2 linked regions of the Daphnia pulex genome follow. The main gene of each other region encodes a partner of the protein of the gene in region 2 in a complex. Links are inferred from orthologs where the notes say so. Each region holds a gene or a part of one and is shown on either strand. Other genes may lie near its edges.

Region 1 (8,075 bases), on a different chromosome or scaffold from region 2:
TAATAGCAAAAATGACGCTTGGCTGGCCATTAGAGGTTCTATTATTTAATGCTTTTCTTTTTTCTCCTTCCTAATAATCAATTATAATTTTATTTTCTTCAAAATAAGGAATGGTGTACAACGTAACTTCTTATTTCGAATTCCATCCTGGCGGCGAGGAAGAGTTGTTGCGTGGTGTCGGGATTGACGCTACCGATTTGTTCGATGAAGTCCATAAATGGGTAAACTACGAATCGATGCTGAAGAAATGCCTGGTCGGAAGATTGAAGGCGGATTCCATGCTGCCTCCAGTCAAACGCGCACAAAGCAAAGTTATCGTTGGAAAGGGCTTTCCTGCGCCTCCTCCGCCCACTCTGTCGATATCGACGCCTTCTATTGGAGTTGTCACCACCGATTGGATGCAGAACTCCACCAGCGTCACTGTCGTCCTTTATACGCGACAAAAAGGACTTGACGCACACCGGGTGTCGACGTCTATCGACGGGAAACTTTTCCGTATTCGTATCTACAGCGACGATTGGTCACGCTGTTACGATTATCAAATTCACTTAGCCGAAGTTGTCGAATCTTCCTGTAAGGTTACAGTATCGTTGACAACGGGCAAAGTGGAATTGGTATTGCGCAAAATACAAACTGCACTCCATTGGCAGAAATTGGGCGATTTGGAGGACGTCAGCCAAGGGTTTCAGCCGTTAAGCCAAGCCTCACCATTCTTCCGCCAGGCCACTTTAACACGCAAATTGCGCGTTAATCACAATGTTTTTCTATTCACTTTGACGTTTCCTACTGGTCAAGACTTTTACGTCCCTGTTGGTTGGCATGTTCAACTCAAACTATCTCTGGAAGGTGATTGCACATATGCGTGATCTTGAAAAAGGGTTTTTTATTTTTATTTTTTATTTTCACGTTTCTAATCATTAGATGGAAGTGAATTAATCCGTAGCTACACTCCTGTTGTTTCTGATCTTTCTTCGTGCAAGACAACAGACTGCCCATCTAAAACTGAAGCGTCTAGTTCGCTTCAGTTTCTAATCAAAATCTACCCTGCTGGACCATTTACTTCGGCATTGGATCGATTGGCTGAGGGTAACAGCTCGATTGAAGTGAGTGATCCAACTGGAAACTTCCTAGAATCGCAATTAGAGAGCAAGAATGTGGTAGCTATCGCCGCTGGTACGTATTAGCATTGTTGGACGACCCCCATTGTTGCCTTGTCTTTGTTGACATTGTTCTGTTTATTCATATTTGCCCTCCCGTGATATATTAACCAATAGCAAACATCTTAAGTAAATTACATTCTTTTTTTAATAAATTAAAATTCCAGGTACGGGGATCACGCCATTAGTCAGAATAACAATCGATACCTTACGCAATAATAGGTACCCCTTTTGATGTTTTTGTCGATTAATCTCTTATGAACTAAGCTCATTTGAATACCAATTTTGATTAATTTAGGCGTGTTATGTTACTGTTCTTCAACCGAACTCAAGAAGACATAATCTGGAAAGAAGAGTTTCGGGAATTAGAACTTAAATATCCTGAGAAGTAGAAAAACCGAAATTTCATTCTAACCTCACATTAATGAAACATCTATATCAATTTTTCAACAGGTTTAAAGTATGGCACGTATTGTCTGAGCCGGATGAAGAATGGTTAGGTCTTCGAGGCCGAATCAACAATTCTATACTAGCCACAACTATTTTAGGTAGGGATTGTCCTGACGACGGTTCCAATTTTGCGTGTGTTTGCGGACCGTCAGACTTTACTTTGGAAACACTCAGGTGATACATTCTTTGAAAATTCACACGAAATTTTGGATTGAAAAAAATGACGAAAGTTTATTTATTGTTAAAAAAGGTTGCTGGATGCTGCAGGATACATAAATGAGGCCGTTCACGCGTTTTCGGGATAGAAAATTAGGAAACGCCTGCATATTTGACTTCATCGAAAGCTTTACGAGCTTTCTTCAGCTCCTCGTTCATGGTTAGAAGGTCTTTGACGCGGGCAAATTTACGCGTGTCCTTGCGAACTAAAAACACCATGTCTTCAACTTGAACTCGGCCTGTCCGTCCAGTTTCCATGGCCTTGTGCGTCTGAAGTAGTAATAATGCAAATAGTTAATGTCAATAAAGTCATTTGCCATGTTATAGAATTCTAATCAGGTTGCCGACTCTTTGTGAATTGCCATAACACGATGAAACATTTGCATTTGATTTCAAAAATAAACATTTTTGCATTCTAACTTGATAAATAAAATTCAAAGATAGCAAATCAGATGTCACAGTTTGAAAAAAATTTTAAGGTATTAGTCCTACCGTTTCAGTGATGTATTCAATAACAAGGTCTTCCAGCAGATCAACACTTTCTGTATAGGGATTTTGATCATCACCAAATCCAAACATCATGCAACGAAGTTCCTTGCTGAAGAGGCGCTTTCTGCCTGATGAAGTGGATCCATAATGCAAATCAGGTTCATCATCATCAAACTAGAAATTGAAACATTTAGAAATTAAATGAACAGTAAAGCATTAAAACAAATTTAAATACAAAAATTTCCACCAGCAATATGTTATATGTACCAGCAAAACTTTCAGCTGGAAATTACTTAAGATTTAATGTAACTTAAAAGAAGAAAATTACCTGATCATAGTTTTCATCTGGATTTTCTCTTTCTTTGCTGTCTCTTTCTTTCTGTGGGGACGAAGTCAATGAAGTATTCACCGAGGGAGAAGACATTTTGAAATTTGATTACTAAACGAGTAAATGTTAGTGGGTTGGAGAATTTTCGAGCAATAAACGTCAACAAATCAACCACTGCAGAAGACACTAGGTAGGTTAGTAACGAAAACGGTTGCCAGATGGCTGTAAAAGCACTCTTGTACGTACTAAAATCTGCTTTCTTGTAAAAAAAATACATTGCGCGGCGCCTGATTACGCATTCAACATTGAAAAATGTTTATTGGTTACAAAAAGCCAGAGTTATAGCTCTGCAAAAAGCGTCAAAGCAAAAATTTCCTCGATTTAAATTAGTGTCGTCCATTTTCATTCAGTTTGAAATCTCCAACGTAACTCGGCTTTTCTACGCCGTTAGCGTACATGGCAACATCATACTTGATTCGATATGGTTTATTGGAACCTTGATTGTAAAATAAGGAAACAGTGATACGAGCTTCTACTTGTTTTCCGGGGTAAAATTTTTCAGAATCCTCAATCATCTTGCGGACTTCAAATTCGAAAGATTTGTAGGCACTGTTGTTGAAATTTTTGTGCATGGGGACGAGATTATTTACGTCCGATCCCGATCCTCCAAGCATTTTGGCAATGATATGCCCGGCATGATAGTCTCCTTCTATACCTAGTTGTTTTTTCTGCTCATTGTTTATGGACACTGTACTTCCATTTCCAAAATTTTCCGACCGAACAACCGCATAAACTTTGCGATACTCGTTCTTCTTCTCCAACCTTAACTTTGACAGACTTGTCATTCGACATTCTTGTAGACAGGAACTGAACCAAGAATCTGTAACACAAAATGTGTTTTAAAGTCCTCATAACTGGAGATTCTAAAGTCGAATTGCTGGACTATATACTCACCCAAGCAAACAAATGAATGTCTTTTCACTCTTTCCGGAGTTTGTTTTTGAGAAATTGCTCGGAAAACTTTGGGCGGGTCAGACGATCAAGAGCGGAACAGCGGATTCCTGCTGTCTGTTTATGTTTACGAAATTCGATTCATAAATCGTCGCCAGTGTTGCATTATTATACACTTCAAACATATCTCATTACTATTATATTTTTTAGTTTCTTTTAACGAAATCACGTTGTAGAGCGGTGATTCGACTCCGAATGAATCCATAAATAAAGGATAAGGAAATTTAAAAAAATACGTGGTCAGGTTAAATCTAGATATGGCAACCTCACTTCTCTAGTTGTTGTTGCAGCCGTAGCCGAGCCGCATTCAAGAAAAACTAATTTTGATTGGAAAGTTTCACTTACCTGTTTTTATAACTATTTCTATAAAAAGGAATAAAAATAACTAGACATGACTTCTCAAAAAAGTACCAGAGAAGTATTGCTTACTTGCATCGACGATATCGAAATCATCGCAAAGTAAGTTTTTCTTGATTTGGCTGCCTTTGTTCGTCGACTATTTTGATCACGTAGTGCAATTGTTCTTCCTTCAAAATTTTTTTAATGAAAGTTAAAGCCTCAGATCTATCTATTGTTCATTAGCATGATATATTTATTTATCTTATTAGGTAATCATACCATTGTTTACCTGAAATTCAGAACACTTTGTCACACTCGTTTGTATCATACACTGTTTTGAATTTGATTATTGAATTTTAATCTTCCAAAATATAATTGTCACTGTACTAAACTTAATCTTTTTAATTTATTAGGGAACTTTTGGACAACTTAATAGCCCAGAAGCAGCAGAAACCTATGAGTACTGAACACTCTCAACTTGTTGAATTGGTTCTTCAAAAAGACACTGATCTTAAGGCAACACTTAAGGTAAAATTATTTGTTTTTCATAATTTTTTTCAATGCTAATTCTTTCTTTTATTAAGTTGGCTGAAGAACAAGGTGTATTACAACAAAAAGTAGTTGCCTTAGAGACAGAAGTTGAAAGGCATGATGTTGAGATTCGAAATCTTCAAAAGCAGCTTAAGGAGGCAGAGCAGCTATTAGTAAGCTATTTTTAATTATTTTGTTGGTTTTAGTATTTCATAAACTTACTCTTTTTCAGGCTACTGCAATCTTTCAAGCTAAGCAAAAGTTGCAATCAATCACACGGGCGAATAACAGACCTGTAAATTCCGAAGAGTTGATAAAATTTGCTCACAGAATATCGGCTTCCAACGCTGTTTGTGCTCCTTTGAATTGGCAGCAAGGAGATTTACGCAGACCATATCCCACGGGTAGAAATTTTTTTTTAAATTGCTGTCCAGTAGTTTCATGTTGTTTTGTGGTGGTTTTCAGATATTGAAATGCGGCTAGGATTTTTGGGCCGTCTTGGTGAAATGAATGTCAATGGACACATGAGTTTTCCAGAACTTTTGCATCGTCCTAATCATTCTTTGCAGCAGGGGTCTTCAGTTCCGAATTCTCAAGCAGGCACTTATAGTTGGTTATCTCAAAATGACCTGCAAATGCCCTGTTTGTCAGTTTCACACTTGGGTGTGAGTGGTGGAATGGATCACAAAAATCCCAAGAAAGAGAATGAAGATGTCGACGTTATGTCTACGGACTCGAGTAGCAGTTCATCTTCCGATTCTCAGTAAACACGTGAGCTAACAATTTACACTCTGTATCCTGCGCGATTGCTTAATATTGTTGGTAACCATCCTGTATACTATTCTACTTTCGCATTTCTTTTTGAAAACCTTCCTCATTCAAAGGTTCGTAAAATAGATAAATATTTGTGCAATTCCTTTTTCGAATTGTTCAAATTCTTTTCCATTATAAAGTTATGCAACAATTTATTTTATAGTTAACTTCTCACTATTTACAAAATAGCTTTAGAATCGAACTCCCCATATAAATTCAGGAGATGTGCGTCATCTCTATAAAAATACCTAGATTTCCATATATTCTTCAGCATAATAACCCGAGGCACGTCGGTTAAGGTCACACAAAGTATTCGCGTATTTCATCGAGCAAATAATCGGATGTCTCTTCGCTTATCTCCACAAACCGTTTTTGCTTGCGGCTAAAGACGTAGATGTCTCCGGTATAGATGTCGAACCATAACCTAGTATCATAAATTTCAACATTAAACACTTACGAGTAAACGTTTGATACATGATACATACGCGTGAAGGTGTACTCGCCCCGAATTTATGGCACTTTGAATGAAGCTATAACTGGCAATATGCTGTAGTTGTTGCAATGTGTTGAGCTGAAAAAAGATAACCCAATTAGATTTGTAGACATTACATAACTTGGCATAATTCTACCTGTGAGAGCTTATCTGTTAGACTAAATTTATTGTCAGGGTCTATGTAGGCAACAAATTGTCTGAATGGTCCCTCCATTGGGAAAGTCAAGGGCTGTTGGAAACCATGCACTTCTAACCTCTCAAATTTAGTTAGAGAAATACTACCATGGCGATGAAGCCAAGCTTTAAGTGGAGATCTCTCGAGAGTTCTCATGTTGGTTTCAATTCCTTTTTTAAAACTATACAATAGGTTCATAGCCTGAAACAAAAGTTGTGTGTCATTATGTTTATGTTATCATTTAACAAGTTTATGGTTGACTGACCTTGCAATCTGAGTGTCCACAAACAACCATGTGCTTCACATTATTTACAATGCACCCCAGCTCCAGGGCTGCTGGTTCAGTGGTAGCTGAATCAATTCCATACAGCTTCGAGTGAGGAACCAGATTACCAGCATTTCTAACTTATATTTACAATGTCCAGGAATATAAAAAAGCAAGCAGTATATATACTTGTGTTTTAACATACCTATGAACATATCACCAACATCTGTTTGTGTAAATCGAGTTGGAAGCATTCTGCTGTCCATACAGGTAAAAAACACTGCTTTTGGCTAGAAATATACGATTATTTTATGTTTTGAATGAAAAAAAACTAATGAAAAAAAAACTTTTTACCTCAGGTCGATCAGCAACTTGTTTAAACTGTTCCACCATTTCAGTTCGATACGTTTTTCTGTATTTAAGGATACCTTTCAATATTTTGTCCATTTTTTTTTTATGTCCACGTTGGAATGTCGACCGAAGGGATTGGGGCGACGATAAATAAGGTGCAAGAGTGTATTTCTTGATGGTCCAATGGTCCTGTTATGATGAGTGTTTACGTTAGTTCAACAACTAGATACAACCAGAGAGACAAGTAACTCCGTTGCCATGTGACTGCAAGCAGACGTTTTTATCGTCGGCTGAGGATTGATGTTTCATGCCAAAATCAAAATAGATCGGTTGCGCGGTACTGCCAGCAACACAGCGATTCGTTTTTTAAAATTATTATTTCGGTGAAATTTCATTGCGTAAATTGCGGCGGCACCTTTATTCATTATTTAATATTGCGTTAATTGAATTCTTATTTTTAGGAATTTGATAATAGATGGCAGTCATATCATACAAAAGCCGTTTTTTTGTTTTGTTTTGAATCTTTATTTGTATGTATGAACACGGAATAGCCGTAAGCGGTATCCTTATCAATTATTGAATTAAAAAAACAAACATGTTCAGGCTACGTGACGTTTTGTTTGCTTTTGTATTTTCACGACAGAATTTCAATAATTTAATTTATTGAACATAAAATTGAGCATTTGAGATGCGGTTAGCTCAATTCTTCGAGGGCGTGACCAAAGACTTCATGTATTGCATAATCTGCTGGATGCTCTTTCTTTGTGTGTTCAGTCATCTCTTCTTCGCTTTGACAAACAAATTTGCAAGAAGGACAAGATTTCCGCGCAATACATTCAGGAATATGTGAATCCAACTTTTTCTTTGAACTAAATTTCTTCGAGCAATTTGGACACTGGAGAGCAACTGAAGCATCATGAGTTCGCGCGTGGGATTGTAGGTTTGAGCGACTGGAGAAATTTTTATCACAAATTCGGCATGCGAAAGGTTTGACTCGTTCGTGCAATACTACGTGATTTTTAAATACATCTTTGCGTTCGAAAGTTGCTGTTGGAATACAAATTTCACAGGTATATACTGACTTTGCTCTATGATGACTGTTTTTCAAATGAACGTTCAACTGGATCTGGTTAGTAAAGGATTTGTTGCATTTTGAACACTTCAATAAAGACTCTGATGAATCGTTACTCTCACGGTGATTCAAGGCCTTATGGTAACTCAGTCCATCAAGACTTCGGTAACTCTTACCACATTCTTCGCATAAATAAGCGGAAGTCTTATTATGTGTCCGCAAGTGACGTTTGAGATCTTGAGGGCGCGAGAATGACTTTCCGCAGGTTGAACAGTTCTTTTCTTTATTGGATAGTTTCGGTGCTAAAGGTTGATTATCCAGTTTAGTGTCCTTTTCTAGCGTAAAACATAATTCAACGTTGCCTTTGCTGAATTGCTTTTTCGTC
Region 2 (7,425 bases):
CAGCTCATGAAGAATTCCGCGAATTCCCTAAATAATTCATTGCCATAGACCGTTCGCTATGTGTGTAGATTTTCCTTTTATTATTATTTTTTTTTCAATTTGAGCAAGTGTCCTGGTCGCCCACTACATTACGGCCGGCCTTCGCTTACGTGTCAATCGGCCAAGTATTCTAGTCTCGTCGTGTTCGTAGAGCCGGTTGGTGATGGATAGATTTCGAGGAGAGTCCTGCGTGCTGGTGCACAGGACCAGCAGCTACAAAAGTCACGAGCCAAAATATATATACCGCCTTTTGGCAAATATACATATACTACTACCTCTTGTTTGTTTGTGGCTAGATTCCCTTTTGCCGACATTACAAGCTCGCAGATATGCCATTACTTTGTGTGCTGTCAGTTGGTCGTGGGCTGGGACTCGCGTGCAATTCCCTGTTTGATTACGATGCCAATTCTCGAGTTGAATAACAAGGAACCGTCATGATGTTTAACCTAAATCATTTTCAAGGAAAAGAAGAAGAAAAAAACGAAATGCCTGAGATAAACCAACTAGCACATAAAAGGCGAAAATTGGGAGACCGAAGATAACCCTTAAATCTGGCTGCAGCTCACGATTTCTCTTAATGCGAATGGCAGTTGTGTTGCGGTTGTGAGCCGCTGGAATGAAATCCGAAACGGACAGATGAGGTTCCCTATCAGGAAGTGCGACGAATCGTCATCTCCACGCTGCAATGAATCATGAATATTCCCCAGTGCGTACTATTCTTCTCTAAAGGTATGATTTCATCAATTTAATTCCCCGCAAAGAGAAAAAATCAAATCGAATCAAGTACTTTGGACAGGTTGACAGATCACCTGTGGCAACCGGCAGCTGCCGGCTCGTTTGCGAATCATTGAATCATTCTCCGAGTCATTCCCCTGTCAATAATCCATCAGTGACGACTGACGAATGCATGTGTTGCAAAGGTACAACTTTCTACGCTCGTGCTGGCTATAGTCCGGGTTCCTGGTTTAGCGTTTTAGACTGCTGTGAGAAAGGAGACATCTGAATTTTAATTTCAGTCAATCCTTCATTCGCATCAAATGGTTCCTTGACAGCCTTTGTTTGAGCTGTCGGCTTCTAAGATAAAACTGTTTTTTGTTTTTCAGCTTCTATTATTTCAAGCAACCATGTTATGTCCTGCATGAGGACTTTTTCCCATTTAAATTTGTTGGAATTGACGTCACGAATTGACGTGCTTTGAAGTACCCAGATCACCAAGTTTCCCAAACATCTTTACAAACGCAGACCTTTGTGATTGGTTTTGTCAAATTAGATTTTCATTGCTTCTCTTGACGAATATTAAAATTGATAAGAAGGTGGAAATTTATTCTTGGAGCGTCAGTAGGTGAACTCCACGGCCAGAAGCGCTAAACCGGACTATGCTATGCATGAAGTGGTTGGCCACTAGTGACCAAGAAAAGTTCTTGGTTCGACCTTCTCCGATTTGCGTCATCCGGCCGATCGGTTTGCCAGGACCAAAAGACGCGCGAGACTTTCGTTTACGAATTACGACGTTGGCAATCAACCCTCCTCTTTTACTTGTGGCAGTTGTTGTTTGCTTGATGAATCGTAAATGACAGGTTGTATGTAATAATACGTCTAATAAATTGTACAACATACCAAACGTACGAAGGAGCATATTGCATGTATAACGCAACAACTGCAAAGATATGTTTATCGCGTATCTCAATAGTTGAAAATTTGATATTTTCTAACCACAAGCTCCGATTTCAGCTTCAATCAATCATTTAATTTAATTTCAATTGTTCCTTCATTACAGTGCATACAAATAGATTTATCCTATTACATTTAAAATGATTAAAATTTTTAAACAATTCCCCTTATGCCGTAACAGCATTGTATATAATAACCAAAAACTGAAAATTACCCTACTTAAGTGCGGGATATAGCTTTATTTTCTTATCGCTAGGTGTCTTATTTTTCCATTTTACAAAGTCGTCTGCAAGTGGTACTCAACAACTTTGTGAAAATGTCACGATATTTAACGAAATTTAGGTAATAAAAACTTTATCGGTCACGTGGAGGCACTCACTATAATACTTTATAATATATTTAGATTGGCCATACCTCTAGTTATTCAGACCAGGCAATTAAATGCTCATAGAGCGTCAATCGGTAGTATTGGACGATCTATCTACGTGAGAACATACCCAACTTTGCTTGTACAACCTGACGGTTCTACAATAACCGTACATTATAATGAACCTCGCGCAATAATAAAGGCAAATTTATTTTTATTTTTAATAAGTATGGACGTAATGTTTGTTTTACTTCCATTAACAGCTGCCTCTGGACTTGAGTATGCTATCTGAAGCTGAGAAGCAAAAACGACTGGCCCAAAGGAAGCCAAAGAAAAAGGTCAAGATTGAAGAGGAAATTGAAGACACATTTGATCAAGATTCATATTCACATTTATGGAAAAAATGAGATGACAGCTGATACACAAATAGTACGAAAAATAAACTAAATTTAACAATATGGATTGTGGTTATGGGGAGCTCTTTTTCTTTGAAAAAGGCATTTTAACTGGTCTGATGAATGGATTTTCCATGATAAATGGTTCTGAATTTGACATTTCCATCAGTGAGCCATTAGGTCCAAGGTTATCCATCATTTCATTGTTCTCTTTCTCCTGATCCAACTTGGCGGCTTTAATGGCTTCAGCATTTGCTTCTTCTTGCTTTTGCATGTGGACGGCTGCCTCGTCTTCTTCAAAAGTTTGATCGCGAGGGAGAAGGGCGGACAAAAACGGTTTATCCATTGGCTTACATGCAATAACTAGGACACAAAGAATATATTTAAATGAAAAAGGTATACATTACTATTTTTTTCGTCCTCTACTTACGGGGATAATGCGTCAAATCTTCGACCAAAAAGAAACTCTGCGTTTCCCCTGTTTTAGCGACAAAGCGCGTCAGTGCTCTCTCCACATCTCGCTTTTGACAGGATGCCTTTTCTCGAATAGTTTCGTAGTCCGTAATAGGTTGTTTGTGAGTCTTAAAAAACAATAATTATTAAAAAATATAATGTATGACAAATATGGAAAACAACATACTGGTGTTTGAACATATGCATGTGAATCTGGAAATGCTGGCAAATGATCTGGGATATGACTTGGATGTGGTCTCTTTTGACCAGTTTGTAAAATTCCAATTTGTTTGGTTGCAACAGCTTGAGTAGGAGTTGGTAAAACTAGCCTTCTTGCTCTTTGAGCATATGATTCCAAAGAGTTGTGCTTAATTCCCATTGAAACCAAGGCCATAACAACATCTCCTACAACAGGTTCCTAAAATTAAAACATATAACTTGACTACTGATTATACCCTATAACTCAGAGAAGAATTTAGATAACCCATACCACTCTTGCAGATAATTCACAGTAAAGACGGCTACTATGACCAAGTTCAGTCAGAACTGTAGAAAGAAAATAAATAAATAAGGTTTTTAACAAATATGATTACTTTGATAGATAGAAATGCTTACAGCTCTGCATCATCTCGGTAAGGGTCTCCAATGACAATTCATCTACTGCACTGAAGCCTGCCTCACTACACAAACAACTCACACTGGCCTGAAGCAGTTTCCTTCTACAAATATTTAAGATAAATTACATTTGTGTAAAACACCTAATTATTAAGGTCTGTCTAAATCTGACATCAAATACTGTAACATGGAAAAAAAAGATTGAGTATCCTTGTCAGTATTTTAGTCTTTTAAAAGTTGTTTTTCACCACACGTATATTAAATGTTTTACCTAGAAGCTGCTCCAGACATGATGGGTTCTGAAACAGTAGTAGTCATTCTCGGTGTTGTGGTTTATAGAAGAAATGATTTTTTATTGAATTATAATATTTGTTGAATGGTTTTGTTGACAATGCAACAAAACTAGCAGTACAGTCGTTGGTCGTTGCTAAACAGTCGCTAGGATTGGTGCAGCGGCGGCACCTGAAAGCTTCGTCAGATTCACTCGCCGTCAATTCTTTCATTTGGTTCTGAACTTGTAAGTCGTCGTCGTCCTAGTGAGTTTTTATCGTCTTTCATCTGGATTTTACCATAATATAGTTTTACAAAAATGTTCTGTTTAATTAAAGCATTATATAGACGACATTTGTGAGTTTTTCCGTGTTCGTAAATAGTAAACTTCCTATTTTTCTAAACAGGATTATCTAGCCACACCAGCTATATACAATGGCCAAATCCAAGAATCACACAAATCACAACCAGAGTAAGTTTATAAATTATATATTTGGAGACACGTTTTAACGTTTCCTCATTTACAGACCGTAAACATCATCGTAATGGCATCAAGAAATCCCAGGCTCACAAGTGCCCATCCAACAAAGGAGTAAGATTTTTGTTTCTTTAGTTACTTGGAACATTTGTCAAATTGACTAGAATTGGTTATTTAGTATACTTTTGAAGGTTCTTTGTAGTTCCTTGTTGCTTTAAAAATCAAGCCCATATTGATTACTGTTCACTGAAATCCATAAATTTCATTCTAAGTTACTTGACGTGAACTTTTCGTGCCATGTATGTGTTTAACCAATGTTAGTTGAGATTGAAGTTTTAATGTTTCTCCTCATTTGCAGGTCGATCGCAAGTTTTTGAGGAACATGAAGAAATCGCGCGCACGCAATCTGAGCACTGCTAAGCAGTTGATTGTCGCCAAGTACCGCAAGGACCAGGCCGAAAAGTAGTTTCTCAAATTCGCGAGGATTAAGTTTTGTGTAAAACAAAATGTTCTAAATACAAATCTTGATTCTACCTTTTCATCTATTACCTAAATTTATAATTAATGTAATATAATTTATAACTAAATCATAAGACTTATAGAATTGTTTTGCCAAAAAAAGCCGACTATTGTTGTTCATGGCTTCATGCAGCAGATTACTTAAATCTACAAGGATACAAAAAAGACCAATTTGTTTTTTATTACGCCAGTTATATATTTTAAGACAATCTGTACAAAATATAATTTGTATTGGACATCTGACGGATAGACTATTAGCAGCAAATTAACATCTTCAATTTATATTATTGAGAGTAAAAGTAATCTAAGGTCGTGGTCTGCGTTTTACCTGTAAAGAAAAAACGTCGTTAAATATCCTATTTCAGTAATGATTAACAGTTTTTACCTTTAATTTTCATTGTAACTGGTCCTCTCTTCTTTTTAGTGCCTGAAAGTGATGAACTGGAGGAACCGGCACCTTTTGGGTAAATTTCGGGTTTTGCGTGACCTCCAAATCCATCATAGAAATAACCACTAGTTGACGGTACTGGATCGACTTTCATTTTTTTAAACTTCAGGGATTCACCATCAACGGATGCGGATGAACTGCTAGCTTTGCGAGCCTCCTTTCGCTGAGTACTGGAAGCTGCTTCTTCTTGTTCAGGATTGCTAAGTTTGGGCTGCATGCTCGAAATATTTTGCGATGACAACATCAATCTAGACGAAGGAACGTTCGAAGGTTTCATTCTAAGCGGAACTAATGGAGTAGAAGGTGACGATGGCGTTGTCATGAGAAGATTAGACATTCGAAGGTTAGTCGGCGCAGGACTCTCATTGATTAGACGAGACAGCGCAGAGTTGCGAGGATCACCACTCGGCGATGAGATCGACTCCGTAAGGGCCTTAAGCTTTTCTTGCAGTTTTGCATTTTCTGTAGTATATCTTTTAATATCCTCTTCTGCCAAGCTGGATTGCTCTTCTTTCTCCTTCAATTCCTTCTTGGTTTGCTGGAGTTCAAGGCGGAAAGTGCTTAGGAGTCGTCGACATTTTCTTAACTCTTCGTCGGCTTTCTGCTTTAGTTGTACTTTAGTATTCAGCTCCCTATGGGAAAATAAACTTTGAAACAAAGCTTTGAATGTTGGCTGATATTATTCAGTACCTGCTTAAAATCACACATTGCGTGCTCAAGGATTTGGCCGTTTCTGAGTGATCACCATATTGCTCCAGCATTTCTTTTACTTCGTCATGAGTAGCAGTCACAATTTGTTGAACATTTTCCATCAGTTTAAGCTTTCCTTTACAAGTCTGCAGCTCTTCTTCTACGATGGCGAAAGACTTAACTTGCTTATTCAGGAAATCGACTCTCTGTTGGAGGTTGCTTATGACGGTTTCCGACTCACGAACTTTTTCTGCACTTTCCTTTTTTTCTTTACAGTACTTGTTAGATTTTTTCTTTAGAGTAACATTCTCTTGCCTAACTTCTCTCAGTTCTCTTTGTACAACTTGAAATTCCAGGGACATTTCATCCAGCTTTTGTTGAAGATCTGCAGAGTCCACTTCAACAGAGAAAGCAATATCAAAGAAGATTCTGCCTAGTTTTTCATTAGACGTGGTTTGACGACAGGTTGGACAAGATTTCTTGGTACTGTACATTTAAGGAAAAAGATGTTAAGGATATCAACAAGAAAACTGTATTAAAGGTGTTACCCAAGCCATTGTGTGATGCAAGTGTTGTGAAATGTGTGACCACATTGTGGAGCCATGACGACATCAGAGTCACCAAAGAGCTCCTGACAGACAGAACACTGGGCACGCATTGTGTGGCTTTGTAAACTAAACCAGTAGCTTTTACAAATCTGAAAAGATAATTAATCATGAGTAAAAGAAATGAGTTTACCACTCATCAAGGAAATTATTCCAAATTAACACATAAACAAAGTGGGATAACAGACTATGTAGTCTGAGATAAACACAAAATGTTTAGGTAGAAAAGTTTAACTTTACTTCTCCTTCAACACCACTGAGACCATCAGTAGCCTCACAAATTAGCACCAAGGACAAACGTTTGAACCAAATTCTTACCTAAATTACTCATGACTCACAGAAAGTTGAAGATCGACAAAGAGTTAAACTTATTTTGGAAATCGACCACTAGCGCCTCCATTTAACGCGCCTTTTGTGTAATATTCGTGTGTCACATGAGAAAAATTGGTTACAACCTTTTTCTCCCAAATAACAAAGTTAAACACAAATTTGGGGTTTATTTTTTAAGAATATTATTTTTTCATTTTTTTCTACAAAATATTGCTCTATTTTAAAAAATGTTATGTTTTTTTGTTTGTGACTTTGCAGAACCAAAGAAAATGGAGATAAGGCAAGATGAAAAGAATAAAAAGGTCTTTTCACTCCCGCACTCTAGCGACTAGACCCAGAAGCTTAAATTTAAAAAGTGTCGAGTGTTGCTACAGTTGCAAGTTAAGCTACAAAAGCGCTAGTGTCAGCAATATTTTTGCCGTAATATTTCTAGAATTCTAGTCAACTTGTGATATCTCTGTTTATCCAGTGTGCGGAACGAAAGGTAAACATGAAAAATGGCCGATGATTCAAGTTCATTATTCCCGCTACACTCGTGTGTTTAT

The links. Proteins that work in one complex are often made in the same cells at the same time.
Region 1: transcription initiation factor TFIID subunit 8-like (region 2) and transcription initiation factor TFIID subunit 13-like share a complex: the UniProt entries of both Homo sapiens proteins name them as parts of the TFIID basal transcription factor complex. The link is inferred for Daphnia pulex from reciprocal best matches to the Homo sapiens genes TAF8 and TAF13.

The regions. Positions count from the first base shown.
Region 1 is NC_060026.1:12,374,549-12,382,623, reverse strand, and holds transcription initiation factor TFIID subunit 13-like, read right to left. Parts: upstream 3,730-8,075; 5' UTR 3,595-3,729; intron 3,521-3,594; 5' UTR 2,737-3,520; coding exon 2,641-2,736; intron 2,487-2,640; coding exon 2,316-2,486; intron 2,243-2,315; exon of another isoform or gene 2,094-2,242; coding exon 1,917-2,093; 3' UTR 1,913-1,916; coding exon of another isoform or gene 1,858-1,912; 3' UTR 1,812-1,857; downstream 1-1,811. Other genes in the region: cytochrome b5 reductase 4-like, read left to right, coding at 1-35, 109-846, 922-1,173, 1,325-1,379, 1,456-1,545, 1,611-1,781, 1,858-1,912; mediator of RNA polymerase II transcription subunit 4-like, read left to right, coding at 4,043-4,110, 4,404-4,518, 4,575-4,694, 4,754-4,925, 4,987-5,288; beta carbonic anhydrase 1-like, read right to left, coding at 5,635-5,758, 5,820-5,905, 5,964-6,203, 6,268-6,407, 6,473-6,557, 6,622-6,714; gastrula zinc finger protein XlCGF7.1-like, read right to left, coding at 7,313-8,074. UniProt on the Homo sapiens protein: The TFIID basal transcription factor complex plays a major role in the initiation of RNA polymerase II (Pol II)-dependent transcription.
Region 2 is NC_060020.1:5,722,534-5,729,958, reverse strand, and holds transcription initiation factor TFIID subunit 8-like, read right to left. Parts: upstream 3,974-7,425; 5' UTR 3,859-3,973; coding exon 3,812-3,858; intron 3,645-3,811; coding exon 3,541-3,644; intron 3,472-3,540; coding exon 3,416-3,471; intron 3,344-3,415; coding exon 3,113-3,343; intron 3,054-3,112; coding exon 2,903-3,053; intron 2,836-2,902; coding exon 2,546-2,835; 3' UTR 2,451-2,545; downstream 1-2,450. Other genes in the region: E3 ubiquitin-protein ligase TRAIP-like, read right to left, coding at 5,092-5,135, 5,193-5,887, 5,946-6,431, 6,494-6,603; ankyrin repeat domain-containing protein 13C-A-like, read left to right, coding at 7,378-7,425. UniProt on the Homo sapiens protein: The TFIID basal transcription factor complex plays a major role in the initiation of RNA polymerase II (Pol II)-dependent transcription.